Linked DNA regions of Elephas maximus indicus. The protein of the gene in region 2 interacts with the protein of the main gene of each other region in a biochemical or structural test. Links are inferred from orthologs where the notes say so. Each region holds a gene or a part of one and is shown on either strand. Other genes may lie near its edges.

Region 1 (7,503 bases), on a different chromosome or scaffold from region 2:
GCCTTCCATATTGTATATCTCATCATCATCTCCATTTTAGGATTGGTATGTGCAACTAGTTAGGTATGAGCTGTGGATCAGAGAGAGCAGAGTCACAAAGCAAGGAGGTTAGCAGAAAGAAGGAAAAGAGAAGGGGCCCAGATTCAGAAAAACAGGGAGGGATATTATGAGGACAGATGATACCCAACCAAAATTCATCTTGAAGCATGTAAGAAACTTTTAAATAGGAAAATAGGAGACATCGTAAGAGGGATGGGTGGTACTAACCAACAAAAGTTAAAAACTTTCAATCAGTTTTTATTACATCTACATTATTATATTCATTTGTCCAAGTAAATAAGGTTATTAGAAAAGATAAAAATTGGCATTTGGGAAAATAAGGACTTATTTGTTTATTGCAAGAAAAAAAAATTTTTTTTTTTTAGTTTTTTTTTTTTTATATACCTAGGTAGTACTGTGACATTTCAAAGCCACGGTACTACCTGGTATAGATCTAAATCTTAATGATAGAAGACAGATTGCTTAAATGCTATGCTAACAATTCCAACTGAGATTCATGTCCCTCCAGGCCCTGTGGAGATGCTTAGTATTTTATGAGGCCCATGGATCACCTAGACAGGAATTATTTTCTTTCATTCTTCCATATTCTCCCTATATTTACAGATATAAGGGGTTGCACAGTTTATCTGAAATTAGGAGAAACAAAGTGCTGTTAAATGTGGTGCAGTTCAGAGTGATACAACAGGGAAAAAATTAAAGTGAATTTGCTATGATTTTTTTTTTTCAGTTTCAAAAATGCACCATAGATTCTCCCCACATGCATTTCTTTCAAATGTATTCATTTAAAATTACATTTCCTAGTACAACACATTGTACAAAGTAGTTTCTTGAGTGAATTGGTAAGAACTGAGTAATAGCCGAAGAACTGGAAAGATGCTTATTCTCTTCAGAGATCTGAGTTCCTTAAAAAACACACAGGGTGTATATGGCTATGGATTGAGTTGTGTATCCCCAAAATATATGTTGTAAATCCTGTACCTGTGGTTATAATCTCATTTGGGAATGGGTTTTCTTTATGTTAATGAGGCAGTATTAGTGTAGGGTGTGTCTTCAGTCAATCTCTTTTGAGATATAAAAGAGCAGCGGATTCAGCAAGCAAGCAAGCACAAAAGGAGGGGAAGATGCATGCTGCATGACTGCCAAGGAATCTAGGAATAGAAACCGAAAAGAGACAAGGACCCTTCTCCAGATCCACAGAAAGAAAGCCTTCCCCTTGACCTAGCAACCTAAATTCGGACTTCTAGCCTCCTAAACTGTGAGAAAATAAACCTGTTGGTTAAAGCAACCCACTTCTGGTATTTCTGTTACAGCAGTACTAAGACATATTAAACAGCTCTATCTTCACTATTATATCTTTATTCCTATTCAAAGCTACTTTCTGCAAATATGTAATAATTCACCAACCACATCTTTCTAGATTCCCTTTGTGTAAGGATAAGGAAAAAGTCTAGGGTTCTTGGGAAAGGCAAGCCTTGATGAAGTTGTGGCATAGTGGTTAAGTGCTATGGCTGCCAATCAAAAGTTCGGCAGTTAGAATCCACCAGGTGCTCCTTGGAAACTCTATGGGACAGTTCTGCTCTGTCTTATAGGGTCACTATGAGTCGGAATTAACTTGATGGCAGCAGGTTTGGCTGGGAGAAGTCGAATTTTGGCTTTACCTATTTAATTCACAAATATTCATTCATTTCATTCATATTAACATACCATATACCACCACTCTTAATGTTCACAGGAAACAAATTTCTATTTTAAGGGGTTTAATACATATGGTATATAGACAGGGAACTGCCAGAAATTCAGGCCGGTTTCAGAAGAGGACATGGAACCAGGGATATCATTGCTGATGTCGGATGGATCCTGGCTGAAAGCAGAGAATACCAGAAGGATGTTTACCTGTATTTATTGACTATGCAAAGGCATTCGATTGTGTGGATCATAACAAACTGAGGATAATATTGCGAAGAATTGGAATTCCAGAACTCTTAATTGTGCTCATGAGGAACCTTTACATAGATCAAGAGGCAGTTGTTCGGACAAACAAGGGGATTCTGATTGGTTTAAAGTCAGGGAAGGTGTGCATCAGGGTTGTATTCTTTCACCATGCCTATTCAATCTGTATGCTGAGCAGATAATCTGAGAAGCTGGACCATATGAAGAAGAATGGGGCACCAGGATTGGAGGAAGACTCATTAACAAGCTGCGTTATGCAGATGACACAACCTTGCTTGCTGAAAGTGAAGAGGACTCGAAGGACTTACTAATGAAGATCACAGACCACAGCCTTCAGTATGGATTGCACCTCAACATAAAGAAAACAAAAATCCTCACAACTGGACCAATGAGCAACAACACGATAAACGGAGAAAAGACTGAAGTTGTCATGGATTTCATTTTACTTGGATCCACAATCAACAGCCATGGAAGCAGCAGTTAAGAAATCAAAAGACACATTGCATTGGGTAAATCTGCTGCAGAGGACCTGTTTAAAGTGTTGAAGAACAAAGATGTCACCTTGAAGACTAAGGTGCGCCTGACCCAAGCCATGGTATTTTCAATCACATCATATGCTTGTGAAAGCTGGACAATGAATAAGGAAGATCAAAGAAGAACTGACACCTTTGAATTGTGGTGTTGGCAAAGAATATTGAATATACCATGGACTGCCAAAAGAATGAACAAATCTGTCTTAGAAGAAGCACAAACACAATGCTCCTTAAGAGCAAGGATGGCGAGACTGAGCCTTACATACTTCGGACATTTTGTCAGGAGGGATCAGTCCCTGAAGGACATTATGCTTGGCAGCGTACAGGGTCAGTGGAAAAGAGGAAGACCCTCAATGAGGTGGATTGACACAGTGGCTGCAACAATGAGCTCAAGCATAACAACCATGGCAAGGATGGCTCAGGACCGGGCAGTGTTTCGTTCTGTTGTTCATAGGGTTGCTATGAATTGGAACAGACTCGACGGCACCCAAAAACAATACGTATGGCTTAGGTTGTGCAGTTAACAGCCACTACAAAATATAGGCCAAATACTAACTTTATTATAATTTCTGTTTCTATTGAAATTTATTAGTGGTTCAGGGATAAGATACCCCTAATGTGAGATCATTTTAGAGAACTATTTAAAAACCAAAAAGTAATCATTTTAAGTTCATAGTCTCAATATTTTGGGTTCTTTGATTTTAAAACAGTAGACAAGAAAAGTCCAACTTAAAATTTATGTACGTCTTTCTATGTCTAGGGCTGTTCAGATGGTAAAATAAATAACCCTATTTAGAAAAAATATTTACCACTCTTCTTTGGTTCCTAGTAACTCAAGTTTTTCAGCGGAAGTGTGGAGATGGGATTGACATTAGACTGCTGCAGGAAAAGAATGTGGTTCAACCCAACTCACAGGATACAACGCCTAAAAAAGCCTGCTACAATAGAGGAGAGTCACACCCCCAATAGTGACTACCACCTATCATACTTTTACAGATCACCCGGTTATCTTCGTTTAGTTCACATTACTCATTTCCCACCTAATTCTTTCAGTGAAGGCTACTTCAGAAATAACTCTCACTGGAAGAGAAAACCAGTTTGGGTCCTTCAGGCATTCTAGATTCTTGAAGAGGCCATTCACAGGACCTGCTGTAGGCTTTTTAACGGCATCCATCACAATTCCAGATTTGAAAAATCTAGTATTTTTTAGACACAGTCCTAGGCACTGGGAATACAGAAATGGTTCCTCTTAAAGGACTCAAGAATCCATTACCAAACTAAACCCGTTGCCCTCAAGTCGATTCGGACTCACAGCGACCCTATAGGACAAAGTAGAACTGCCCCATATGGTTTGGAAGGAGCGGCTGGTGGATTTTAACCGCCGACCTTTTGCTTAGCAGCCAAACGCCTAGCCGCTGCGCCACCACGGCCCCGAAGAATCTACTGGAGACGCGGGAAACCATCCTATAGCAATCAACGTTATAAAACCGAAGCAAGTAAAATACTGGAAAGTATAGGAAAAAGTGACTGATTCTGAGGATGAAAGTGCGTATCTGGACTAGCGGGTCTGCGGCCCCAAACAGCTTCCCTTCCCAGGTTCGCCCAACACCCTGCGGGCACACTTAACATTTTAATCAGGCCTCCGCCCCCACCGTCCGAATTCCTTTCCGGTCGCGGACCCGCCGGGTACTCCCTTCCAGGAGGCCCAGCTTATCACCCCCAGCCCGGCCACTTTCCGGCTGCGGCCAGGCGAGCCTCCCGAAGTTTCCTGTGACGCCGCCGTCAGTCTCCAGACTCATCCCACCCTCACTCCCACCCTGGCAGCTCAGGACACAGTCTAGAGAGAAGCAGGTTACCGAGGCAGACAGAACAGCTCGAGCAGGCGGACCTCGGGACCCCACCCGGACCCGGGAGCGGGCCCAGAAGGCGGCGGCCGCGACTCCACGCCTCCCCTCACCGCGCCCGCTGCCCCCGGCTTTGCGCGAGCCCACCCGGCCCGGCGCCTGAGTCCCGCCCCCTCCGCAGTTCAGGCCAATCGGCCGCGCCCCGCCTCCTGGGAGGTGGTGAGGAGGGGGTGTGAGGGCCGGGCGTCAGCGCCCGCCTTCCACCTGCATCCATTGGCTGCGGCCTCTAGGGTGCCCGGAGACCGGAGTGCAGTGGGATTGGCCGCAGAGGCTCGTGACAGCGGCGCTTATTGGCTGCGGCGGCCACCGTGACGCGGGGTGGCGACTGTCTCCCCTGTCTGAGGGGCTCCTGCTTGTCAGGTTCTAGGTAGGTGCATTTCGCGCCGCCAGCGGCAGGCGCTGTTGCGCGGGGTAATTCTTGGGGAGGGGGTAAGAGAAGGGAGGGCAAGCCAAGAGCCGGGGCAATACCTCCCGCCCGCAGGGGGGCGACTAGGAATCGGCCCCGGCGGCGGCGACGGCGCGGAGGACTCTTCTCTGCCCTCAGCCACCCCCACTCCCGCCTCAGCCTGCGGGGTCGCCCGCCCATCCTCCCGCCAGCGGCGGAACATTCCTGGTTGGGATTTGGGCCGGGCTGCACACCCGGCCCCTCGAGGCCCGCCCCTCCCACCAACCCGGGACCCGGAGGCTGAGGGGGCGGGTGCCGGCGCTAACGGGTGGTGGCGGGTGGGGTGGCCCCTCCCCGCGGCGGGATTGGGGTGCTGCGGCATGTGGGGTAGTGTTGGAGCGCTGTGGGCACCGCCCATCACGCCTGTACCACCTTTACTGTGCGCGCTCCTCTCCCCGGCACCGCCCTCCATTTGGGGCGGACACCCTCGACTGCGAGGTGTTCTGTTAATCCCTTCCCAGCTCTGGGGCCTTGCAGTCTCCGTGACCCCTCTTTAGTATTCAGCCATGCTCCTCCCATGTGCCAAGTTCATCTCCCACTTTTATTCCCTCCTCCCTCCTGTCTTGGCCATTGGTGTTCCCCGTGGTTCCAGATAAGAGACTCATATGTGTGAAGCTAGTACAGTGGGGGTCTCGGGTGAAGGGGCAATTTCTGCTCCGTTCTCTCTGCCATTCGGGACTGGGGAGGTGTTTCGAGGCTTTGAGTCAATTTCTGGCTTCAAGTCTCCCTTAGGATCAACTCTCTGAAACATGCTAATTGGGCTGGTGTTGGTAGGGTCAGGGTACTTCATTCACAAAGGGATTTACTGTTAGGTGGTTGCTTTTTTACTTTGTACATTTGTCAATTTCGTATTTAGTGCTCAGCAATACAAAATTAATAATTCGTTAAGGCTGGTAACTTCATTTTCGTGTTTTATACCTTAATGGTTAAAGTGAAGTTTTAATCTTTTTTATTAAGAATCTGCGTATAGCGATTTTACGTTTTGACATAAACTGCGCTAAAGATGAAGTACTATTTTCCCTTCCTCCAAATAGTTTAAGATAGTTTCTCTAATGGAGTCACCATATATAAAAGTGTAGCTGTAAAATCAATAAGAGGATAGATTTTAGTGATTAAAGACTAGAAATACTTTTTAAGCAATGGAACGAAACAGGATTAAACAAAAATGTATTGCAAAATACAGTTGCTTCACTAGTGCCTTGTAGTCCTGGTAAGCCTATGTGGACTTTACCAAAAACCAAACCCAGTGCTGTCGAGTCGATTCCGACTCAGAGGAACATGGATTTGTGAGAGCTACACGTTTCAGTGGGAAGAATGCAAAGAAAGGGTAAGTGTATCTTTTGTAATCTAGGAAGTCATTTCTTCCAGCACTGTGAGCCAAAGGAAATATGTTTCCAAATGTACTGGGAGTATATTAAAGACAGTACACAGGCACACTTTGAACCTTTTCTTTGTTTCTTATGTGAAGACTTTTGGTGAAGATCTTTTTTTCTTCTGCTCTGATGCTTACGGCAGTCAATATACAGGTTTCCCCTGCTGAAAGAAAAGCGTTCCCTCTGAAACCTTTCATAAGCCAAAATGGCGTAAAGCAAAGAAGCAGTTACCATTAATTTATATGGGAAAAAGCTTTGAGCATTCCAAGGCTCAAAAAATAACCTACCAAATCATCCCAAGTAGCACAGAAGACTTAACACTAACGTATAGTAAAAGCAAGGATGATATGATAAATACACAGCCACGGCAATGGGTTTTATTGGGTATATAAATTGGAAATTACGTACAGTGGAGTTTCTCTTGCCAGAATCGGGAAGACAGCGAGCACGCCGGAAGGCTGAGACGAAGTGGTGGTGATGATGGTAACCCCGGCAGCTTAGGTGGCAATGGCTGGATTGAAGGGCCGGGGTTCAAATCCTACAGAACAGTGGGATTTATATTAACTGTGCTTACGGAGGCTTGAATCCTACAGTTAAGGAAATGTACAAGGAACAAGTCCTGGGTGAGATTTCGAGGTGCATGGTGCGTTTATAAGTCACCAGGCATTTGACTGAACATGGCTGGGTCTTAAGTAAAGGTGGAGGAGTTTGAAGGACGAGGTTGGTCAAGCCGTTACTGCGAAAGGAGCTTTGAGGGTGCCACTCTCCCTGCTGCTTGGGGTGCGCACTGCCTTTTTAATAGCTCACAAACGCTGGACGCTATTTCTGCTTTTCGCCTTTTTTTTAAAACGAAAATCCTCTTGGGATTTCTTTTGATTACTGAAGACAGGTACTGTAATGTAGGTCTCTTGTAAAAGCAAAGTGGCGTAAAGGTAATGTTCGAAAAGCGGGGGACACCTGTACACCATCTAAAATTATTTAGCGTACAGTTTTTTTTTTTTACAGTTAGTGCAGCTCTGCACCATTTCGAAGTTGATGATGTCTGTAATGTAGAAGAAATGATTTAGGCTTTTGTTAGGTAAAACACTTGCATCTTCAACTGTTAGTAGCTAAATATAACTCTGGTCTGTGAACATTTCAAATTTGCCTGTTTTTTTCCCCAGTATTTTACTGTTAAAAATTTCAAAAATGCAGAAGAGTTGAATTGTACAATGAATATCCACCACTTGGACAGCAAT
Region 2 (7,689 bases):
TGGCCAACCAACTGGAAGAGATCCATATTTATGCCTATTCCCGGGGAAGGTGATCCAACCAAATGCGGAACTTATCGAACAATATCATTAATATCACACACAAGTAAAATTTTGCTGAAGATCATTCAAGAGCAGCTGCAGCAGTATAACAGGGAACTGCCAGAAATTCAAGCTAGATTCAGAAGAGGATGTGGAACAAATGTTATCATTGCTGATGTCAAATGGATCCTGGCTAAAAACAGAGAATATCAAAAAGATGTTTATCTGTGTTTTATTGATTATGCAAAGGCATTGGACTGTGTGGATCATAACAAATTATGAATAACATTGCAAAGAATGGAAATTCCAGAACACTTAATTGTGCTCACGAGTAACCTGTACATAGATCAAGAGGCAGTTTTTCAGACAGAACAAGGGGATACTGATTGGTTTAAAGTCAGGAAAGGTGTACGCCAGGGTTGTATTCTTTCACCATACCTATTCAATCTGTATGCTGAACAAATAATCGGAGAAGCTGGACTATATGAAGAAGAACAGGGCATCAGGATTGGAGGAAGACTCATTTACAACCTACGTTATGTAGATGATTCAGTTTTGCTTGCTGAAAGTAAAGAGGACTTGAAGCACTTATTGATGAAGATCAAAGATCATAGCCTTCAGTATGGATTACACCTTAAATAAAGAAAACAAAAATCCTCACAACTGGACCAATAAGCAACATCATGATAAACGGAAGAAAGACTGAAGTTGTCAAGAATTTCATTTTACTTGTATCCACAATCAACACCCATGAAGCGACAGTCAAGAAATCAAAAGGTGCATTGCATTGGGCAAACCTGCTGCAAAAGACCTCTTTAAAGCATTGAAAAGCAAAGATATCACCTTGAGGACTAAAGTGCACCTGATCCAAGCCATGTTGCTTTCAATCGCCTCATATGCATGTGAAAGCTGGACAATGAATAAGGAAGACTGAAGAAGAATTGAGGCCTTTGAATTGTGGTGTTGGTGAAGAATATTGACTATACCATGGACTTCCAAAAGAAGGAACAAATCTGTCTTGGAAGAAGTACAACCAGAATGCTCCTTAGAAGCAACAATGGCGAGTCTGCGTCTTACATACTTTGGACATGTTGTCAGGAGGGATCAGTCTCAGAGAAGGACATCATGCTTGGCGAGTACAGGGTCAGCGGAAAAGGGGGAGAACCTCAGCGAGGTGGATTGACACAGTGGCTGCAACAATGAGCTCAAGCATAACAACGAGTGTGAGGATGGCTCAGGACCGGGCAGTGTTTAGTTCTGTTGTGCATAGGGTCGCTCGCTATGAGTCAGAACCGACTCGACAGCACGTTAACAACAACAGCACCCTGTCAAGGAGCCCTGGTGGCGAAGTGGTTAAGCACTCAGCTGCTAACCAAAAGGTCAGTGATTCGAACCCACAGGTGTCTCCATGGGAAAAAAGACCTGGCCATCTGCTCTGGTAGATTTCAGCCTAGGAAACCCTATAGGGCAGTTCTACTCCATCATATAGGGTTGCTATCAGTCAAAATCCACTCAATGGCACACAACAACAGCGCCCTGATAGGGGGCCTTTCCAGGGAACTATGCATTGCATGGTGGGATCCGAAGGTTTCTAGAAGTCAGCTGGAGAAAGAAACCCATCAGTCATACATCTAAAAGTCTATCCAGGAATTGACTGGCTAAGGAGATCATGGCCTGATATGGGGGGAAGACCTCATCACTTCCTGAACTGATTTGCTGACTACAGCATTTCAGACTAGGTGGCCCCCTCTACAGACTGACTTCAGCGGACCCTCCTTCAGGGAGTCTCACCAGAGACCCAATCGTAAGTCATTACTCAAGCCCAGTGATCCCAGGCTCAGCAGTTCGGTGTGAGCGAGTGAGTAGGTGGGCCTAGTTTATGTGTTATATGAGGAGCCTATTTTTATTCCAGTGGGTCAGTGCTACTCAGCTCCCCACTGTGAAAAGTATGTAAATCACTCACCATTTCTACCCTCCCCATTCAGATTGCATCCTTACCTCAATAAGAATTCCCATTTTTGCTCCATCTAGACCTCTCTTCCAACTCTCCTCCCGTTTTATCACCCTTGGGTCTTTACATGGTGGAGGAACATGTGCACTTGAGCTTCACTGGAAAAGTAAAAGACATGGTCAATTCTGACAAGCCTCCTACACTGAGGCAATAATATTGCCTGACAGTCCATATGCAATTAGCTGGGTTTATTGTTGTTATTTTTAAATCTAGGATCAATCAGGGATCATTCATTGCATTTGGTTCTGTGTTTTTGATCTTCTTTGACGTGAAATGATTCTCTTGACTTTTTTTTTTTATGACATTGGCACGTTTAAAGAGTCCAGCCCAATTGTTCAGTAGAATGTAGGACAAGGAACTCTGTTTGGCCTTTTGTTTCTGGTTTTCAAAAATAGCCTGAGCAATTAAGGTACTCTTTGTCTTTCTAAAACAGCCCAGCCACATTTAAACAAGTGTAAAGTAGGGGACTACCCAGGCCCCAACCTGGCAAGAGACCTGAGGAAGAGAGGGGCGTGACGCACTCATTGACTGAACTGATAAAAATGATGCACTGAGGCCTCAATAATGCATATTCCAATTTGATACATGCACATTCATTGAGGTCCCAGTGACTAAAAAAAAAAAAAAAAAAGTGACTAGGGGACTCTAAACCTTGGAACTCTCTTTGGGGATTCCAGAATTGGTGAGAACATCCACGCAGGGGAGAGGGTGCTGCATGTCCTTGGGGACAATGGAAGCCTCATGCTGGGACCTCTCTCAGACCCTGCCTAATGTGTCTCTATGTTTGCATTCCTTCAGGTTATGATAAAGTATATGTAAGTACAAGTCATAGTCTCTGTGGATTTTGTGAGCCTTTATAGAGAATTACAGAACCCACAGGGGCCATGAGCCAGCAGGGGCTGCAGTACAGAGCTGATTTGTGTAGGCCGGGCTCTGAGCGGCTGAGTCCGACAGACCATGAAGAAGCATAGAGTCCTTCCAGCGTGTCTGACCTAATCCCAGGACACTAGGGTAAGAGAGAGAGAGAGAGAGAAAGAGCGAGAAAGACCAGTCTGAAGTGTGTTAAAACAAAAATCATATTATTAAGCCAACAATAGGAACTGATTGAAATTTACTGAATATATGATTTGCAAATTAGGGTAACATTTCAACTAAGAGTGTCCGAAATATTCCAAAAATGAGAAGAATTTCCAGCCAGGGCCCTGAAACCTAGGTTGAGGTGGTGAGCGATAGAAGGTCCTCTAATCTGGGGGAGAGTAAGTAGGGATGGAAATTCCTAAGTGATGTTAGCTCAGTTATCTGATGGGAGTTTGAATCTCAGTATTGCATAAGAAATCCTAGTCAAAAACCTGAGTCCCTCGTCCTGATTCTTCTAGATAAATCACGAGTTTCTAGAACTTCCGTTTTCCATTCTGTGAAAAAAGGGAACAAATGTCACCTAGTTTGTATAGTTTTTCTGTTAAGTGAAACATTCATTAAGGTACTGAGTTTGAGGAAATGTTTTACAAATTAAGTGGTATATGTTTGTATATGTCAAAGGCTTGTGCTGTCGCAATTACAGTACCACCGTCACGTGAGTGGTCTGGGCGAGGCCAGCGCCCTAGAAGTGGACAGAGAAAGTCTGAGAAGTTTTAGCCCGTTGTCTTGGCCTGGGGTGAGGGGCGACATTTTTCTTCATCAAGATACAATTGTTCTTGATTATTCAAGCCTGAAGCTTTGGGGAAAATAAAATCGACTCTCCGTTTAAGACCCGGAATGCCAATCTCTGGGACTGAAATCTACGCCGTGTGGGGCTGGTGGGCACCAGGGGGCGCCAGTTGGGTGCGTCGAGGGGCCTGGCCCAGCCTTGGGCAGCCACCCTCGGTGCACCCGACCGCCTCTGGTCTGGATCCGGGAGTTGGTGCGAGAGGTGCCAGGGATCCATGCCATTCACGGACGCAGTCTCTATTGCCCCTTCCTTCTTTCCAGTGCGAGCCCGGGCTTGGGAGGCGCCGGAGGGTGTGAGCGCCTGTGGCGAGGTGTGCCCATATGGGTCCCCAGCCGACCGGCGAGAGCTACGGCCGCCCCGTCGGCGAGGTCACAGACTCCAGTGTGGAAGGGGCGCCAGCTGTTCTCCCAGGCGGCCGTGGGGGGCAGCAGAGGGGACGGCGACAGGTGCGGGAGCCCCTCCCAGGGTGGAACTGGAAAGCGGGCTCTGGGGTCTGTTCCCAGGCTGGAAACCACCCCCGCCCCCCAACCAAATCCCCGGGAGAGGCCGAGCCGGCGCCGGGTCTGGAGAAGGAAGCGGCCGGAGACAGTGCAATTTCACGCGGCCTCTGGGCTCGGGTTCCTGGGCAGGGGGGATGAGTTGTGGGGTTTTGAGCCGGGGGAAACTGAGGTGGCCTAAGCGTGAAGCAAACAACACCCTCCCCCTCAAAAACACACAGAGAGAAATATTCACTCCAGAGAGAAAATCCTCAAGTGATCCAACCGGCTAGGGGAGATGAGTGATTTGGTTAGTGGGCGAGGCCAGCTTTCAGGGGGCCGGGCTTTGGCGCTCTCTCCCCGCCCCCATTACCTTTCCGGGGATTTGGGGGGCTTCTGGAATCTTGACCTCCGCCTTCGTAGCCCAGCTCCGGAAGGAAAGTTAGAGTGAGACCCCTTCTTCGTCTGCTTGGCGAAGAAGAGGGAGTCCCGGAGTTGCCGAGGTGTGGGGCGCGCTCGGGGCGGGCAATCAGTCGGAGACTCCAGCAAACTCCTCCAGCCCGGCTCGAAAGGGGGCGCGGCCGTGACTCACCCCCTCCCCTGCGCGCCCTCCCTCCCTCCTCTCACAGACACACACCCCTCCTCTGCCACCCGCCAGGACTCCGGCTCCGGCTCGGGTGGTAATTTGCTGCCGCCGCCGCCACTATCACTTCGCTGGCGGGTCAGGTGGCTCCTGCCTCGATGTCCTAGTCCAGGGGCCCCCGGGCCGGACTTGGCTGGGCTCCCCTCACCCTCCGCTGGAGTCATGAGGGCGAACGGGGCTCTGCAGGTGCTGGGCTTCCTTCTCAGCCTGGCCCGGGGCTCCGAGGTGGGCAGCTCGCAGGCAGGTAAGCGGCGGGGAAGCACTGGCCAACTCGGAACCGGGATCCGAACCGTGCGCGGAGCCACTGAGGGTGTGAGGCGCCGAGTCTCGCACAGTGCGAGGCTGAGGCTTCTGACCCCGACTCCGCGGGTATCACCTGGGAGGGGACGGTCAGGTTTGGTGGCTTGGGTTCTCGGCGTGGTCCGGTCAGGGACCGGCTTCCTGGGCCCCCTTCTCCCTAGCGCGCCAACGACCCTCTAATTCGTTCCCCTGATGGTACTGACGGCGAAACAGTAGTTCACACTTCTGAGGGACCCTCAGGGAGAGGAGCCGGAACCTCCATTCCGTAAGAGTAAGGAGATGATTGGAGGTAGAGATCTTCGGGGGGGAGGGGGAGTCTCTACCCCCCAGTTTCAGCAACCTCCAGTTTCGTTGTTTTGCCGACAGGGCGGAGCTACGGGAGGATTGGGGGTGGGGAGGGGAGGTGATGGTGGTTGTTGTTCTCTGGTGTTGGAAAACAGGAGCTGCACCTCCTCTTCCGTGAGTGGCCTGCCCCGGGGAGGTCTGAGATTAACCAGAGGGCCAAGTCCAGGTGACAGCAGGGTGAGAGGCCCAGCCCACCCTGGCTGCCCGCTTTCCCTCCAAATAATAAAGCTGGCTGGTCCCCTACGAGGCCAACTTCTTTTTGGCAAGACCCAGTTCAATTCAACTAGTATTTATCGAGCATCTACCATATACTAGACCCTAGGCCAGGAACTTTGTAGGGACAAGGGCTTCCAGCCTCTATTTCTCCGTTTGTCTTTTCTCTCCCCAACTTGAGGCCAAGAATGCCCTACTTCCACCTTCTGAGGCTTCTGCCCTGGAGAGCCCTTCCCAGGCCCAGCTCCTCACCCAGTTTCGTTTATTTGACTCCAGGAGAAAAGAGTCCCAGACTGCTCATCTCTATTCCTTCCCCCCAGTGCCACCTAATCTCTTTTTGGGGGTGTCTCTGGGACCGCAGACACCTGAGGGGTGCCAGAACTGGAGGAGTCCTGTTGATCTCCTCTCCTGTTCCCAGATACCAGCTTGCAGTGTGTGGCACAGCCAGGGCCCCTTCCCCAGGGTGGGAGTGGGAAAACACCTGTGCTTCCCCCACAGTTGCTGGGCCTAAATTTAGACCCTGGGATCTTGAGATATGAACACTCCCAGCTGGTGGGGGGGGGGGGTCTGGGGATTGGAGTGGGAGGGAGGAGCGAAGTGACTATCACTGGTCCATCCAGACCCCTGGAATTTTCAAGCAGTAACCCAGGAGTCCCAGATTCTGGCCCCTTCCCTGGGGGAGGCAGGAGGCAAGCATGGTTGGGTCTCTTTACCCTTTATCTGGGTTCTGCAGCCTCTGGGCATCCGGCCCTGTCTCAGTTCTATAGCCCCTTTGTCCCAGCTATGATGGCTGTGATGGGGGTGGGGGATGTTAGAGGGGAGGCCCTTGGTTGAGGAGGGGCTTGAGGTTCTTGTTCTGCCCCACACCCAGTTCACTCTACCAAAGGAGAGCTTGTGACACTGACCCTTCCTATCACCCTGGCCCTGTGGGACAGTTAGGGATTTTTGTAAAATTCCTCTCTCCCTGTCCCCCTCCTCAAGCTGTCTGGCTTCTCCCCAGAGATGTTGTTCGTCCCTCTCCCTGCCCAGGCCCTTTGCTCCCTGTTTGTGTAATATGGACTTTACCCTCAGGGTGGCAGGGAACTGGAGATGGAACTCTAACAACTAGCCTTCCAAGCATAGACACAGAGTCTGCACACACACATATGCGCACTTGGCGGTGGATGGGACACCTGAAATACTTCCCAATAAGAAAACCCAAGGGCAGAACTCATATAGATTGAAGGGGAGCTATAAACATGTTTGTATGTGTGGGCCTACATGTGCGTGCGTGCACACATACACACACCACTTCCGTATGCAGAGATCTTGGCTCCTCCCTTATCTGGGGACAAGGATTGGCGCCTTGACTTGGAAGAGGGGGTGTCTTGCCAGGAAGGGGGTTGGGGTGGGGCTGAAATGACTAACCTTCCTAGTCTCTTTTCAGCCCAAGGACCCTGAAGTACCCAGGCTCCTTTGGGAGTTCCTGGCCTGTTTACCCTTCTTCTGAGCCTACATCTACCCCCCCCCCCCACTGCTCCCCTAACCTCTCCCCCCCCCCAGGAGTGATAGATAAGGGGAGCCCCTCCAAGGTCAGTAGGTCAGAATTGGGTAGATCTAAGAGGAGGGGCTGGGGCTTCACCATTTTCCCTCCATTCCCACTCCTGCCTCCCACTAAGCTGACACTGCCTCAGGGAAGGGTGGTTGGAACAGGTGGTATCTACATACGAGCACATGCGCTCAAACACACACACAACAGAGTCTTGCACCGAGCCAGGTGAAAGAGACAGGAGCAAGGTTTCAAGGTCCACCATTTCCTGGAGCCCCTATATCCTTCATACTTACAAGTTAAAGGGAACCCCGAGACTGACATGCCTCCCGTACCTCTATTCTAGACTCTCCCCTAGTGTGGGTGAGGATTGCCATGTTGAGAAGGCCTTTTCATGAACCCCTTTGTCAGTGAAATTGGGTGGGT
Region 3 (7,564 bases), on a different chromosome or scaffold from region 2:
GTATTGTATTAATACAAAAAGAGTTTAACGTCTTGATTGCCTGAAAGGGCATCAGGGACATCTAGGCACTATGCCATTCTATACTTGGTTAGTTTCCTAGAAGTGAGATTACTGGGTCACTGGTATGTGCATTTTAAATTCTGATAAATTCTGCCAAAGCTCTCCAAAATGTCTGTACCAATTTCTACTACTTAAGATTGCATGACCATGATTAATTAAAAAGTAAAGAATTCCATTTTTAAATCCTGACTTTAAGAAGCACCATAAGGTAATGGATTACCCTATTTGCATATCTAAAACCAATGTTAAAATATAACTAATGTTTCAAGGCAAAGTAAAATCCAACTACCCAGATTTAGTTAGATGAGGTGAATACCCGTCTGTAAAAAATTTAGTTAGATGAGGTGAATACCTGTCAACTACAAGTTCACTGAGCAGAGGCCTTTGTTTACTTGCATCATCCATTGTTAAGAAGTATTTGTGACAGAATTTCAAAGTACGTGTCACCTGCACATATCTTATATTTGCTTACAGGACTGGTGGGCTCAATGGATATTTAACATAAAACGCACAATACAAAAACAGCAGGCTGCAACAGCACTGGCCTCTGTTACAGACGTCAGTTTAAACCAACCCTTAGCTTTAATTTCACACAGAATTACTGGAAGCGAATGGTATAATTTGTACTGTCGGCATTATGTTCACAAAAACGTGAAATACAAACTATTTTGCCCAAAAAGTCATTCCCAACAGAGAGGGAGGAGGATGAACGCTCATTCAATGGGGAAAGGTTTATTCCTTCCGCTAAGGCAAAATAACTAGACGCTGTGTATTCTCAGTTCACAAGGAATGCTGCTTCCCCACTTGATTTTTCCCACATAGCTCCAAAGTGAGCTACTTACGACTGAAAAGGTCAAGGATATTAGTGTCAACTAGGTTTTACAATTCTTAAGCTTTTGGGGAGCACAAGCCACTTTGAAATATGATAAAAAGCTCTCTGTAGATAAAAGCACAGACAGCCCAGACATGTGTATGCACCTCAGGTGAAGAGCCCATGCCCTAGATTAGAGCAGAATCATAAAACTATGGTTCCTAAGAAACCACCGAAGTCCAACCCTCAGGAAAACTGAGGCCCTGGAACCACATGGTAGGGCTTGTCCAAGGTCAACAGTGAATTGAAATCACAATCAGGAAAGGCATAAGCAATTCAAAGAGATTTTGAATAAAACCATAGCTTTTTCTTACACAAAGAAAGTTCAACCAGAAACTAAGACTACAGTAACAGAAGCTTTAAGCAGTACTGGAATGAACTAGCACGAACACTATCCAAAAGTTCCTTGATGACCTAAGCTGCAGACATAAGGAAAAACACAACTTCAGGAACCTTAAAAAGCACTCACCATGTTCCACAAAAACATTGCAGTGTGGACCCCCATGCCTCGATGATTCCTTCTTCCCTGCTCCTTTGATAAAGTGCAGGGCAGGCAAACTTGGCCTTCGTTGGTCCCCAAGAACTTTTCCAGGCTGCTGCCCCATAAAGTAATGCTAGGCACCCAGAAAAGGGTTCAAGGTCTTCCAGAACAGTCAGTAAGCTTAAAAAGAAAATGGTATATATGTGGGATTTCACATTCACCGCATCTCCACAAGTCAGTAATTGAGGTCAATCACAAAAAGACACCTTCCAAAACAAGAGTGAAGCACAGTTCTTAGGTTGACTCTTGTAAACAGGAGTTCCAATAATTTTTGCGGTTAATCAATTTGAAGTAATGGAATTGTAATGTTACCCAAAAGTTTGACTTTAAGTGTCCTTTACTGACTGAATATCAACGTCTTTCTTTTCAAGAGGAAAAACTTAAAAATATTCACAGGGAATGTTGTAAAGGGTCAACAATACTAAAGTCATTTGAACTCCCACATGTAAAGGAAACGTTGATCTTCTTTAGATGCTCCTCCAGAACTTTTCCTGTGCAAGTCACCCACCCCCTATCTTAGTTTCTTCATCGTCCAACAAATTTCCTGCCGAACTGGCTGCTGCTCCCGCTTCTCTACCCTTCTGTCCGGAAAAGGACACGGATCACCCAGATTTCAGCGAGAGCTTGCCCTTCACTCTGTCGAGAAGGAATGCATTGCCAGCAACTTTTAAGTTCGCTTTTTAAAAGGCCTGTGAAACCAGTCCAGACTTTTCCTTTGCATTAAAGTTTTTGGCTGGGCTGAGACCGAGGGGGCCGTAGGTGACATTGGAAGTCAGGGCATTAGAGGCTTGCAGGAGCAACCTGGGGGGAAGGAGAGGTCACTTGACAGCAGAGAGGGAATCTGAATCTGGGGGGAACTCCACGGCCAAACCTGGAACCGGGAATGGGAGCAAGAGGCGGCTTGGGAGTAAGGAAGCTGCCGGGTCGGGGCACCGGCGGTTTACTCCGGGGCGATGCTCCTCCACCTCTCAGTAAACGGGGTGTTTCAGGTCTGGGGGGGAGCAGAGGCCACCCCCAGTACCCGAGAAGCCCGGACGGGCTGTATGGGACTAAGTACCCTCGCGGCCCCGAAGTCGGAAGCCGGTGTAGGGGCTAAGGAGGCCCGGCCGCCTCAGCTGCCCCGAGCCTAGGGGGCTCAGCCCGAGACACCCCCTCCCTCGGCCCCGGACGTTGCCACGGCTGCCGCCGCCACCAGGCAGTCACATCCCCCGAGTTCGGCCGCGGAACCCAGCCTCCCCCCGCCGGGAGGGGCTGTAGACAACGGAGGGGCTCCTCAGCTGCAGGACCCGGGAACCGGCTCCGGCTCCAGCGCTGCTCAGGGAAAGACATCGACCCCCGCGGCCGCCATGATGGATTACGAGCAGCTTCACAACGAGGCCAGGCTCCACCCCTGTCCCCGCCCCCTAGGGCTTCCGGAGCGCGCCTCTCAAAGACCGGGATGCCCCTGGACCAGCTTTCGAGGGACGCCGCCGCACTTTCCGGCTCTGGTCTCGCTGCCTGCGAGAATCTGGACCAACACAACCTCTTAGAAGTGGTTTATTCTGAGGGGCAAGGTGAGTAGTAAGGAAGCACCCGCCTCCTTTGTACTGCCATTGGTTCCCGAGAATCGGGGTCAGGCCTCTCTCCTCCATCCCATTGGCCAGAGGTGCAATGGTGCTAGAGCTCCCAACCAACCACTTTCGATGTATTCCGCAGGGCAGGCCGGGAGTTGTGGTTCTGCGAAGCCCGCTCTTGTTGGCCGGCACCCGGTACTTCTTGCCCTTTGCTCTCAACTCCTGAGCTTCGGTCCCGCCTTCCTGGGAGACCGTGGACTAGATGGCCTCGCGTAGGGCTGGCCAATGTCTCCCCTTCGCAAGTAATAAAACCGGCGAAGAGCCAAAGTAAGGGGAAAACTGCGGATTGGATTATCCCCCGAACCGGAGTTGGATTACTTCCTTAAGCTTCTTTAGGGGAAAAAATTTGGCTTGCTCCTGGAAACGAAGACTATTTGGTGCCTTTTTCACCTTTCCACCCAAATTTCCACCTTTTCCCCAAGAAGCATAAATATTAGAGCTAGTGAAAAATATAGCTGGAAAGCATCCGACGTATTGCTAACGAATGCAATTGTTTGCTTTCTCCGGGTATCACGAGGCTCACTCATTTAACAAACTGCAGTTGTTAAGCACCTCTCCAAGGCTTTGCCAGGCGCGTTCAAAGATGTTCGAGCTAGAATGAACCTTTAAGAGTGAACAACCTCGTTTCACAGATGAACTCGTATACCCATAAAAATATCCATGTTAGCTGAGGTAAAGCCCAGATCGTTGAGTTTCGCAGGGCTGCGGGGCTAATTAGTGACCCAGACACACCAAACACACCTGTCATAACCCATCTTCCGCAACTGAAAAGCACCCTGGCTCCCTATCCCTGTCTCCTCAAAGCATTGCATGTGGTCGGGATGTACTCATTTCTAAGGAGATCTACTTATCACAGCGCCTACTCTACGCCCAGCACTGTTACTAAGCACTTTTCATCAACTGCATTTTCACTTAATCCTCATTACAGTGCAATAATGCGTGGAATATTACTCCCCATTTTTTCACTATCAAATAACTGTTGATGCAATACTAAACAATAGATTTTTCAGAAGTTGCTGATTAGGGGGAAGCCACAGCCCCATTATAAGTGTTGTACATTCCCCTGCTATATGTAGGTGACACATTAGCCCAACAAATGAGTTATGTATTCTAGAAATATTTTTGCTGGAACGTAAAATGGTGCTGTGATTGCATAGGTATTACCTTCAGGGGGAAAGGAGTCACTTGGAGGTGAAGCTATGAAAACATGTGCCTAGATTTCTAACTAATGTACAAATTCAGATGTTAATTGGCTTAGCTTTGCTGTCGCAGAATATCTGACTGACGTCTAGTGTAGCAACTTTTGAGTCATTCTTCAAATTTTAACACCCTTGGTCCCCTTTATTTTCCCATAATCCTGATTATTCCCCTCCCCCCTCCCCCATTTTTGTTTTTGGAAAATTTGTTTTGATTCCTATTCATGCTTTACTCGTTTCCTCCACATCTTCATGTATCTTCATTCTCTAATTTAGCTTAAATTTGGGCAATCAAATCAGATCCAATACATGTTCCTTGAACAGTTTATTTACCATTCATTGAACAAGCATTTCTTGAGCACACATGATGTGCCAAGCACTGTTCTAGGAGCTGGAATACAGCAGTGGGGGAAAAAACATACTTGTCCTCATGAAGCATACATGGGAGAAAACCAGACCCAGTGGCATCGATTCCGACTCATAGCGAAGGGACAGCAAGTACACAAAGTAAGTAACAAACCCAAGTATCAGTCTCAACCCACACTCTAAAGAAGGGCTTTATAATACCTCTCTAAACCTTAAATATGTATCTTATTCACAATTGCTAATGGGCTTAAATCACTTTAATTCTCTCCATCTATTTCTTCGCCTATGAGTGGGGGTCCTATTTGCTTACTTTATGAGGTTATCATGAGGATCATCTTAGATACTGTTTGATTTTCCACAGTAAAAGACTGAGACCATGCTTCATGATAGGCAATGTAAAGATCAACTGCACTTCACCTAAAGGCTTATTACCGCTAATGTCCATTTTCCACTGCTTGTTAGTTTTAGGTGAACCCCAAGCCCAGGCTGTAATATTTTTCTCTAGAGAGGCACTATATTTTTTTACTTCCTGTATAGCACTACAGAATGATACTTTTGAGGACTGAAAGTTGGATCCAGAGCCCAGCAAATATCTGTCAAAAGCAAATAAATGTTACCAAATGTTGACTAAATCCCTTTAAGCTCAAAGCCTTTTCATAAACAATGATTTAGTTGAGTCTAATTTTGTTCTCGCTTTTATAAAGCAAAGCAAACCCACTAGGTTGCTAAAGAAATTCAGCACCAGTGTAAAATTTTCAGCTTTTTTAAACTTACTGAAATTATACTTAACAAGGGTGCCCTCTAGTGGGCCACAAAAAATAATCACCAAAAGGTGCTTTCAAACCTTCTATTAATTTCCACTTAATAGGCAATCACGATTCAACACTGAATGAGCAGCATAGGCCTGGCACCTTGGGAAAGACCAAGTGATAAGGATAAACTTTCAGTGAGCTTTCGCTATGGCCCTAGTCAAAACCAAAACTGGCACTCAGACACCAACCCTCCTGTTCCCTTCTAACAAAAGGCTTAAGGCCTGGAAATTTTTCTCAAAAATACAACAAATGAGAAAATCTAAAGTTAAAGCATAGCCTATAGAATCTTGATGAGTCTGCAAACTCATGAAAACCAGTGATACAAGGTGGGGTAGAAAAAAAGTGACATAAGAAGTTGCCCATTGAGTAATAAGAGGAAAAAAATACCATTTAATGAGATAGGGCGAATCTGTACTTCACATTTTTCAAGCGCAGTGCAGTGTTCAAAAGTTACTGCCATTGAAACTAACATAAGGCCAAATATTATTAGGTAACCCAAGTATAGTCAGGAGCTGTCAGAAGGAACTTATATTCACTAAATCCTCCTGTTATTACAATTATTACACAGAACACAAATCAATGGTGTTAACACCACCTTTGTAATATAAAAAAGTAGTTTACCACATATTTGAAATAAACAGCCCTTTAAAACAGCGCCTTTAAAAAATGTTTCCCAACAACCTAAATCAGGGCACCATTTTTAGGCAGTCGTCAGAAAAAACAATCCCTCGGTGAGAACATCAACACCTTGTTTTTATCTTTTAACCTCAAATTAATTCAAAAGTAAATGCATTACTTCAATGACAGGAGGAAAACAGCTTTTCTTTTTCTATCTGTTTTTCTTACTTTGTTTTCTTCATGTTTGTCACAACACCCAAAGGTACATGGATCCAGAACATTCATTCTCTCTGCTGTCGATAATAATTCAGCTTCTTACGACTCACCCCTCAAGGCAGGACAGAGGTTAAGGGGCGGATATATTTTCAGCCATCACTAGAAAAAACATTCAATGGGAAATAAGAGTCAAACCAAGCGAACAACGGCTTGGTTAACTTTATTATTCCATTTGACTGCTAGATTAACTGGAATGTTGTACTTGCACTTTAGAGCTGGAAATAGAGACAAAGACACTTTGGGGGTCAGAGATGCCATGTGTTTTATAGGGGCAATTTCATGGGGTATTGTGCACTTTGAATGATGGTGAGTGGAAGACAAAGGATCCTCCACATTATTCCAGGATGGAAGTCCATTTCGCTGGAACTCTGCACGCTTTCAAAGACCTGAAACTACCCCCTAGTGCTGGGACTCAGCCTACCAGAAGGGCCAGAGGCACTGTTCACCTCTCCACCCAGTCCTCTCTTAGAAGGAGGAAGCAGGTATGTAGGCTGGTGGCAGCCCACAGCTGTTGATGCACATCAAGTGATGAGTTTCTCAGCTCTTTACTGGGCTGCACATGGGGACCATCAATTTGATTCTTCACTTTCTAGAACGGCTTCAGCCAGGTACAGACAGTCCTGTCCTGCAGGTGCCTCTCCTTATCCTTCCTGTTCTAACAGCCTCTGGCGCGTTTCCATCACAATTTCTTCCATTATCTCTGGCTTTAAGATGTCTTTGATCTGAAAAAAGGAAAAAGGCATTTGACAGAAAAGAAACCAACCATAAGCAGATCACCAAGCCAATCCAAACTTAGAAACCAAACACAGTTAATATAAACCTTCTGTATGCCTTTCCCTTACAGAGGCTAAGTGTTTCAAGATATGATCTGCTAGAATTAGCTTAATACATCAGCAAGATTCTATGGGATATAGCTGACAAGAACAACTATTCTGACATTCATTAAATTTGGGATGGGCAAGATGAAGTCCAAAGGGTTGCTGTCATAAACTAATCCCATCTGGAACGTCCATCTCCCTAAATCTTCAGGTTGATACTTTTCTTGTTGTGTGCCATTGAGTTGATTTTGACTCATAGCAACTCTATAGGACAGAGTAGAACTGCTGTAATCTTCATGAGAGCAGATTACCAGGTCTTTTCTCTAGCAGAGGGGTTGGTGGCTTTGAACCATCAACCTTTCAGTTAGCAGCCAAGGGCTTAACCATTACCCC
Region 4 (7,129 bases), on a different chromosome or scaffold from region 2:
TTTAAGCAGCTACCTATAAAGGGATAGAGGAAACAGGAAAGGGACAGGGTTAAAAACAAGGCTTCTTTGAATGTACCTTGTTTTGTAGGAATGATTTTGAAGTCATGAGAATCATGAGACTGAATTAAATCTAATTTGAAAAAAGACAATTCCCTAAAATCAAAACCACACAAAGCAAAACGAAACATTTCTAAATGTAACTCAAGTTGGTGATCAACCACTCAAAGAAGCATGATTTCAAGAGACTTTATAACACCAAGCCCTGTGCCATGGAGTCAATCCCGACTGATATAGATGCTATAGGACAGAGTAGAACAGGCCCCCATGGTTTCCAAGGCTGTAATTTAAACCAAAAAATCAAACCAAACCCAGTGCCGTTGAGCCAATTCCGACGCTATAGGACAGAGTAGAACTACCCCATAGAGTTTCCACGAGCACCTGACAGATTCGAACTGCAGACCCTTTGGTTAGCAGCTGTAGCACTTAACCACTACTCCACTAGGGTAATTTAAACAACAAAAAATTTTTATTGTGCTTTAAGTGAAAGTTTACAAATGGAGTCAGTCTCTCATACAAAAATTTATATGCACCTTGCTATATACTCCTAATTGCTCTCCCCTTAATGAGACAGCACTTTCCTTCCCTCCACTATTTTCGTGTCCATGCAGCCAGCTTCTGACCCCCTCTGCCTTCTCCTCTACCCTTCAGACAGAAGATGCCAACATAGTCTCATGTATCTACTTGATCCAAGAATCTCACTCTTCACCAGTATCATTTTCTATCCCGCAGTCCAGTCCAAATCCCTGTCTGAAGAGTTGGCTTTGGGAATGGTTCCTGTCTTGGGCTAACAGAAGGTCTGGGGACTTGTCCTCTGGGGTCTTTCTAGTCTCAGTCAGACCATTAAGTCTGGTCTTTTTATGAGAATTTGTGGTCTGCATCCCACTACTCTTCTTTTCCCTCAGGGGTTCTCTGTTATGTTCCCTGTCAGGGCAGTCATCGGTTGTACCCGGGCACCATGTAGTTCTGGTCTCAGGCTGATGTAGTCTCTGGTTTATGTGGTCCTTTTTGTCCCTTGGGCTCTTAATTACCTTGTGTCTTTGAAGTTCTTCATTCTCCTTTGCTCCAGGCGGGTTGAGACCCACTGATGCATCTTAGATGGCCGCTTGCTAGCGTTTAAGACCCCAGAAGACCGATGCTGTAATCTTTATGGAAGCAGATTGTCACATCTTTCTCCTGTGGTTTCAAACCACCAGTGTTTTGGTTAGCAGCCAAGTTCTTAATCACTGTGTCACCAGGGCTCCTTCTTTATGATACAGTACACTATAAAGAAGTACATCCTAGTGGGAGATACCCTATTGCAAAAAGAACTCCAAAAAAATTACTAAACTTTCCAGTTATTGTATTGTTAGTAATAACATTGGTATTTTTATTCTGAAGCTATTAGATACATATTGTAGAATAAAGCAAATAAGTTGATAGAAAGCAAGACTTTCAGTATAACAGAAAAGATACACAACTGTAAATTTTTTTTAAATAAGAAAAAGCTCTAAAATTTAAATTTGAATCAAAAATATTCGTATGAACTCATGATACAGTTTCTCATTAAAAAAAATCCTACTTCCTGGCTCTGTCCACTAAAGAAAGTCTACAATGACCAATCGAGTGGCAATGTGTGCCTCTGGTGACAGCTTGTGGTCTCTAACTACCATATCCCACTAAATGGAACCAGGGCTCCTCCTGGAGGAGGAAATACACATGAAGAGCCTGGGACATCATGACGAAGCAGATGGGAAAGAGATTGTCAGGCACTCCTGGGTCATGTCAAAAGGACTCAGTAGTCAGCTTGTCAAGGCTCCCACTGGCCACAAATCAGACACTTGGAGCATAAATAAGAATAACTGAAAAGAACTGGAACACATGAATCCCACTGAAAATTCGTATGTTCGTAATGGTGGTCAGAAAAGGATAAAGAACCCCACGGTCACCTTTGGGTGACACTGGGGGACCAACTCGTTATACTGAAAACAGACAAGTAAACAGGAAGAACCTCAGGGTTAACAAATGGGAGGGGAGGGGAAGTTTCTTTTTATAAGAGTATTCTAGCCAATAATGAGGAAGAAATAGCGCCATTTTGAAAACCCTTAAAGAAATAATGGGTCTAGTCAATGATCCCCAGGCCGCTAGCATCACAAACAGGAAGACACAGGATATTATATATTTTCTGATGAAAGTACAAGACACCACCTATCAAATTATTGTCAAAGAATTTCACCCAAATCAGACTAAGTCTAGATCTAACTACCAGTTTACGAGAAACAGTAGGGACAGAAGAGCATTTTAAAAAATATCACAGGCATATAATCAGGAAAATCCAGAATGTGGGGAATTCTATAGGACAAATGATTTGGTTTCTTCAATGAAAAATTTGTAAGGAAAAAAACAGAAGGAGAGAAACCTATAAATTAAAATAGGCATACCAACCAAATGCAATGTATAAATCTTGTTTGGAAGTTTGAATATTTACTAGATACTTAATGGTATAAAAGAATTGTTGACAATTCATTTAAAAAAAAAAATGTTAATGGTATTGTGGTCATGTTTAAAAAAGAAAGAGTTCTTATCTTTTAGGAATATGTACTCAGATGAAATGATGGAATGTTTGAGGTTGGCTTTAATCTGGGAGAGGAAAGGGGGCTGGATTAGATATGAACAGGATGGGCCATGAGTTGTGGATTACTAAAGGTTGGTGATAGATACATGGGGGCTCATCATCCTATTCTGTCCGTATACTGAAATTTTCTAGCGTATGAACTTAAAAAAATAAAAATGCAGTGTGTTAAGTCAGAGGTGCCCTGGTGGCACAATGGTTAAGTGCTCAGCTGCTAACCAAAAGATTGGCAGTTTGAGCCCACCCAGATGCTCCACAGGAGAAAGACTTGGCGATCTGCTTCCATAAAGATTACTAACTATAGCCTTGGAAACCCTATGGAGCAGTACTACTCTGTCCTATAGGGCCTTTATGGGTCGGAATCGACTCGACGGCACACAATGGCAACAACACATTAAGTCAATGGCTCTCAACATAAGGCAGGGTCTGAATCTACCTGTGAAGGACACCTCCCTCTCCTGATCCTACTGAGATCTTCTGTCCTAAATACTTCTCTAGAAAACTGAGTTGGTTTTTCCAAAATTGTTCACTGCAGCTTGCTTGCTGATGGGGAAAATTTGTTGTAAGCTCCTGGCTAGGTGACAAGCATATTTTTCACTAGGCAAAAAAAAAAAAGGCAAGAGAGGAGGAATTTTTTAAAACTCTTTTTATTATAAAAGTATTATGTACATCCCACTAAAACATACACACAGTAAAAAATTAAAAATACAGAAAAAGTCAAATCACTCCTCCTACCTAGTTCTACTCCCCAAAGGCCCCACTGCTCCAAGTTTCTGTAATTCTCTCCAGACCTTTTCCTAAACATATACAAAATTAAAAATAGCCCTGGTAGCACAGTGGTTAACCGCTCGGCTGCCAACCAAAAGTTAGGCGGTTCAAACCCACCAGCCACTCTGCAGGAGAAAGATGTGGCAATCTTCTTCCATAAAGATGCACAACCTCGGGAACCCTACGAGAGTGTTCTGCTCTGTCCTGTGGGGTCACTATGAGAGTTGGAATCCATTCGACAGCACACAACGTACAAAAATAAACAGGATTTGAACCTTACTGTAAATACTGCTTGCAACTAGCTTTTTTTCCACTCAGCAGTATAGCTTCGAGATCTTTCCATAGTAGCAAATACAGGGTCTTTCTCTTTCATATTCCATTGTATGGAAATACTATAATTTAGTTCAGATCAGTCTCTAGTTGGCAGGCATTTTCTCCAGTTATTTCCTCTTGCAGACAGTGTTGCAACGCACCTTCTTGTACACACATAGGAAAGGAATTTTTTGAAAATCCACATCTCCTAAGAAAACCCCTCCCTCATTCTTCTAGAGAAAGTGCTCCGTGGCATGAAGCAATCACACGGCAAACCTCTTGGACCTGACCTATGACTCACCAGCCACCCAATGCTGGACAGCTGGAGGCTGAGCCATCAGGAGCTTGCCTGGCTCCTGGAGGCAAGCAGAGACAGGAGTGCCCGCAGCTCTGAGGCGCTGGGCTTAGGGTGGTTGATGGATCCCTGAATCCCCTCATGCACGAAGCCTGAGCCTGGGAAAGTTCAAACATCAGCACCAAGAGACTCACTTGCCCACTGTGATTAGGTAAGTCCTCTGGCTTTAAAGGATTATAGGGCTAAAGGATGTTTAAACTGAGTGTGATTCACCTGGATACAGCAATGGTTCCATTGGCGGTATGTTTAAAGTGAAGAGACTGTAAAATGCTAATGTTGATCAATGCCTTTGAGGGCCACAGGGTCTCAGTGCCCACCAACTCCTCTGGTTACCCATGCTGATTGAGTAGCCAGAAAAAAAAAAAAAAAAAAACCAGAGTAAGTTTTTATTTCAGGATATTCTTTTTTGAAGTGTGGTTTGTGTTTTATCCTCTGGAAGTCTTCTATGTCAGCAAGACTTTTATTTCCTGCTGTGTAGGGCTTTATGTGGGGTGTCTCTTGCCAGATTTCAGAATTTCCTGGCAAGGAAGAGAGGCAATTTGAGTTACCCGGACGCAGAAAAACACATTTCATTTCAAGAGAGCTTTTCAGGTGTCACTGAAGATGTGCAAGAAACTGGATTAAAAGCTATAAAAAATGCTCTTTAGAGTAGAGAAACTATTAGAGTACGGCTCCTGGACACCCTTATATCTCAATATTGAAGTCACTCCTGAGGTTCACTCTTTGGTCAAAGATGAGACAGGCCCATAAAACAAAATGAGACTAAATGGCCACACCTGCCCAAGGGCAAGGATGAGAAGGCAGGAGGGGACAGGAAAGATGGTAATGGGGAGCCCAAGATCGAAAAAGGAGAGCGTTGACATGTGTGGGGTTGGTAACCAATGTCACAAAACAATATGTGCATTAATTGCTTGCTGAGAAGCTAGTTTGCTCTGTAAACCATTTAAAGTACAATAAAAAGATTTTTTTTTAATGTTCTTTAAAAAGTATTCTCCAGTTGACGCTTTGGTGAAGCTCTTGGCACGCGATCTCCTGAATGGGAAACTCTGGGCAGTTGCTTTGCCAAAGAGACATTTGTTAGACCATAGGGACAGGGTTTGGAAGATGGTCAACTATCTCAGTCCAGACTGTGTGGGGCTTCCTTTCCAACTTGGACAATAAGTAGCAGGGCTCAGAGCAAAATGCACAAGATTTGGTTTGTTTCTCCTAAAAAAAAGTGCTTATGGTGCTTGTAGTTTGAAAAGTAGATGAAGGTTTTACATAGCTTCCCTCTGAAGAGCATATTTTGGAGTTGCTCTTTATTTTTCTTAATTTCTTTTGTACAATTTGGCCAGTCAACATTTATCAGAAGGCAAAAAAAAAAAACAGTTGCTATCAAGTTGCTTCTGGCTCATAGTGACCCCATATGTTTCAAAGCCATAGGCTTTTCAATGGCTGTGATCTTTTCAAAGCAGATCTCCACATCTTTCTTCCTAGTTGCCTCTGAGTGGATTCAAACTGATTACCTTTCAGTTGGTAGCTGAGCATTTAACCTTTTGTGCCACCATCAGAAGACAAGCTTATGCTTATTTTGAAGGGACCAATGTTCTTGCTGTTCTGACAACCTGATGCTTCAAGATGGCATCTGATTTAAGAATAATGGATAGTAAGAAAGCATTGCATTAGTGGAACTTGAGGTAGGGGACTAAGTGAGGAAGGAGGTAACAGGCTGTGGGGAAAGTGTTGTATCTTGCGGTGACTTTGGAGATCAAATGAGTTCAACCTGGCCAACCAACTGGAAGAGATCCATGTTTATGCCTATTCCCAAGAAAGGTTGTCCAACTGAGTGCAGAAATTATCGAACAATATCATTACTATCACATGCAAGCAAAATTTTGCTGAAGATCATTCAAAAGTGGCTGTAGCAATATATTGACAGGGAACTGCCAGAAACTCAGACTGGATTCAGAAGAGGACGTGGAACCAGGGATATCGTTGCTGATGTCAGATGTATCTTGGCTGAAAGCAGAGAATACTAGAAAGATGTTTACCTGTGTTTTATTGACTGTTCAAAGGAATTCAACTGTGTGGATCATAACAAATTGTGGATAACATTGGGAAGTACGGAAATTCCAGAATAGTTAATTGTGCCCATGAGGAATCTTTACACAGATCAAGAGGCAGTTGTTCAGGCAGAACAAGGGAATACTGAGTGGTTTAAAGTCAGGAAAGGTATGCGTCAGGGTTGTATCCTTTCACCATACCTATTTAATCTGTATGCTGAGCAAATACTCCAAGAAGCTGGACTAGATAAAGAAGAACAGGGCATCAAGATTAGAGGAAGACTCATTAACGACCTGCGTTATGCAGATGATACAGACTTGCTTGCTGAAAGTGAAGAGGACTTTAAGCACTTACCGATGAAGATCAAAGACCACAGCCTTCAGTATGGATTACACCTCAACATAAAGAAAACAAAAATCCTCACAACTGATCCAGTAAGCAACATCATGATAAATGGTGAAAAGACTGAAGTTGCTAAGGTTTTCATTTTACTTGAATCCACAATCAATGCCCATGGAAGCAGTAGTCAAGAAATCAAATGATGTATTGCATTAGGCAAATCTGCTGCAAAAGGCCTCTTTAAAGTGTTAAGAAGCAAAGAAGTCACTCTGAGGACTAAGATGCCACTGACCCAAGCCATATATTTTCAATTGCCTCATGTGCATGTTAAAGCTGGACAATGAATAATGAAGATCAAAGAAGAATTGACGCCTTTGAATTGTGGTGTTGGTGAAGAATATTGAATATACCATGGACTGCCAGAAGGACGAACAAATCTGTCTTGGAAGAAATACAATCAGCATGCTCCTTAGAAGCAAGGATGGTGAGACTGCGTCTTACATACTTTGGCCATGTTGTCAGGAGGGATGAGTCCCTGGAGAAGGACATCATGCTTGGTAAAGTATAGGGTCAGCGGAAAAGAGGAAGACCCTCAACGAGATGTATTAACACAGTGGCTGCAACAGTGAGCTCAAGCATAACAA

The links.
Region 1: the proteins of ERBB3 (region 2) and FER form a complex in vitro, tested with the Homo sapiens proteins (2 studies listed by BioGRID and IntAct, with this or other methods). The link is inferred for Elephas maximus indicus from reciprocal best matches to the Homo sapiens genes ERBB3 and FER.
Region 3: the proteins of ERBB3 (region 2) and ABL1 form a complex in vitro, tested with the Homo sapiens proteins (2 studies listed by BioGRID and IntAct, with this or other methods). The link is inferred for Elephas maximus indicus from reciprocal best matches to the Homo sapiens genes ERBB3 and ABL1.
Region 4: the proteins of ERBB3 (region 2) and BCAR3 form a complex in vitro, tested with the Homo sapiens proteins (2 studies listed by BioGRID and IntAct, with this or other methods). The link is inferred for Elephas maximus indicus from reciprocal best matches to the Homo sapiens genes ERBB3 and BCAR3.

What each region holds. Positions count from the first base shown.
Region 1 is NC_064820.1:117,901,523-117,909,025, forward strand, and holds the start of FER (tyrosine-protein kinase Fer), read left to right. Parts: upstream 1-4,546; 5' UTR 4,547-4,814; intron 4,815-4,915; coding exon of another isoform or gene 4,916-5,250; intron 5,251-6,015; exon of another isoform or gene 6,016-6,219; intron 6,220-7,503. Other genes in the region: translation initiation factor IF-2-like, read right to left, coding at 4,400-4,546, 4,916-5,250. UniProt on the Homo sapiens protein: Tyrosine-protein kinase that acts downstream of cell surface receptors for growth factors and plays a role in the regulation of the actin cytoskeleton, microtubule assembly, lamellipodia formation, cell adhesion, cell migration and chemotaxis.
Region 2 is NC_064822.1:116,043,082-116,050,770, forward strand, and holds the start of ERBB3 (receptor tyrosine-protein kinase erbB-3), read left to right. Parts: upstream 1-4,675; 5' UTR 4,676-5,039; coding exon 5,040-5,121; intron 5,122-7,689. UniProt on the Homo sapiens protein: Tyrosine-protein kinase that plays an essential role as cell surface receptor for neuregulins.
Region 3 is NC_064827.1:81,646,109-81,653,672, reverse strand, and holds the start of ABL1 (tyrosine-protein kinase ABL1), read right to left. Parts: upstream 3,006-7,564; 5' UTR 1,537-3,005; coding exon 1,401-1,536; intron 1-1,400. UniProt on the Homo sapiens protein: Non-receptor tyrosine-protein kinase that plays a role in many key processes linked to cell growth and survival such as cytoskeleton remodeling in response to extracellular stimuli, cell motility and adhesion, receptor endocytosis, autophagy, DNA damage response and apoptosis.
Region 4 is NC_064821.1:148,353,870-148,360,998, forward strand, and holds the start of BCAR3 (breast cancer anti-estrogen resistance protein 3), read left to right. Parts: upstream 1-4,115; 5' UTR 4,116-4,254; intron 4,255-7,129. UniProt on the Homo sapiens protein: Acts as an adapter protein downstream of several growth factor receptors to promote cell proliferation, migration, and redistribution of actin fibers.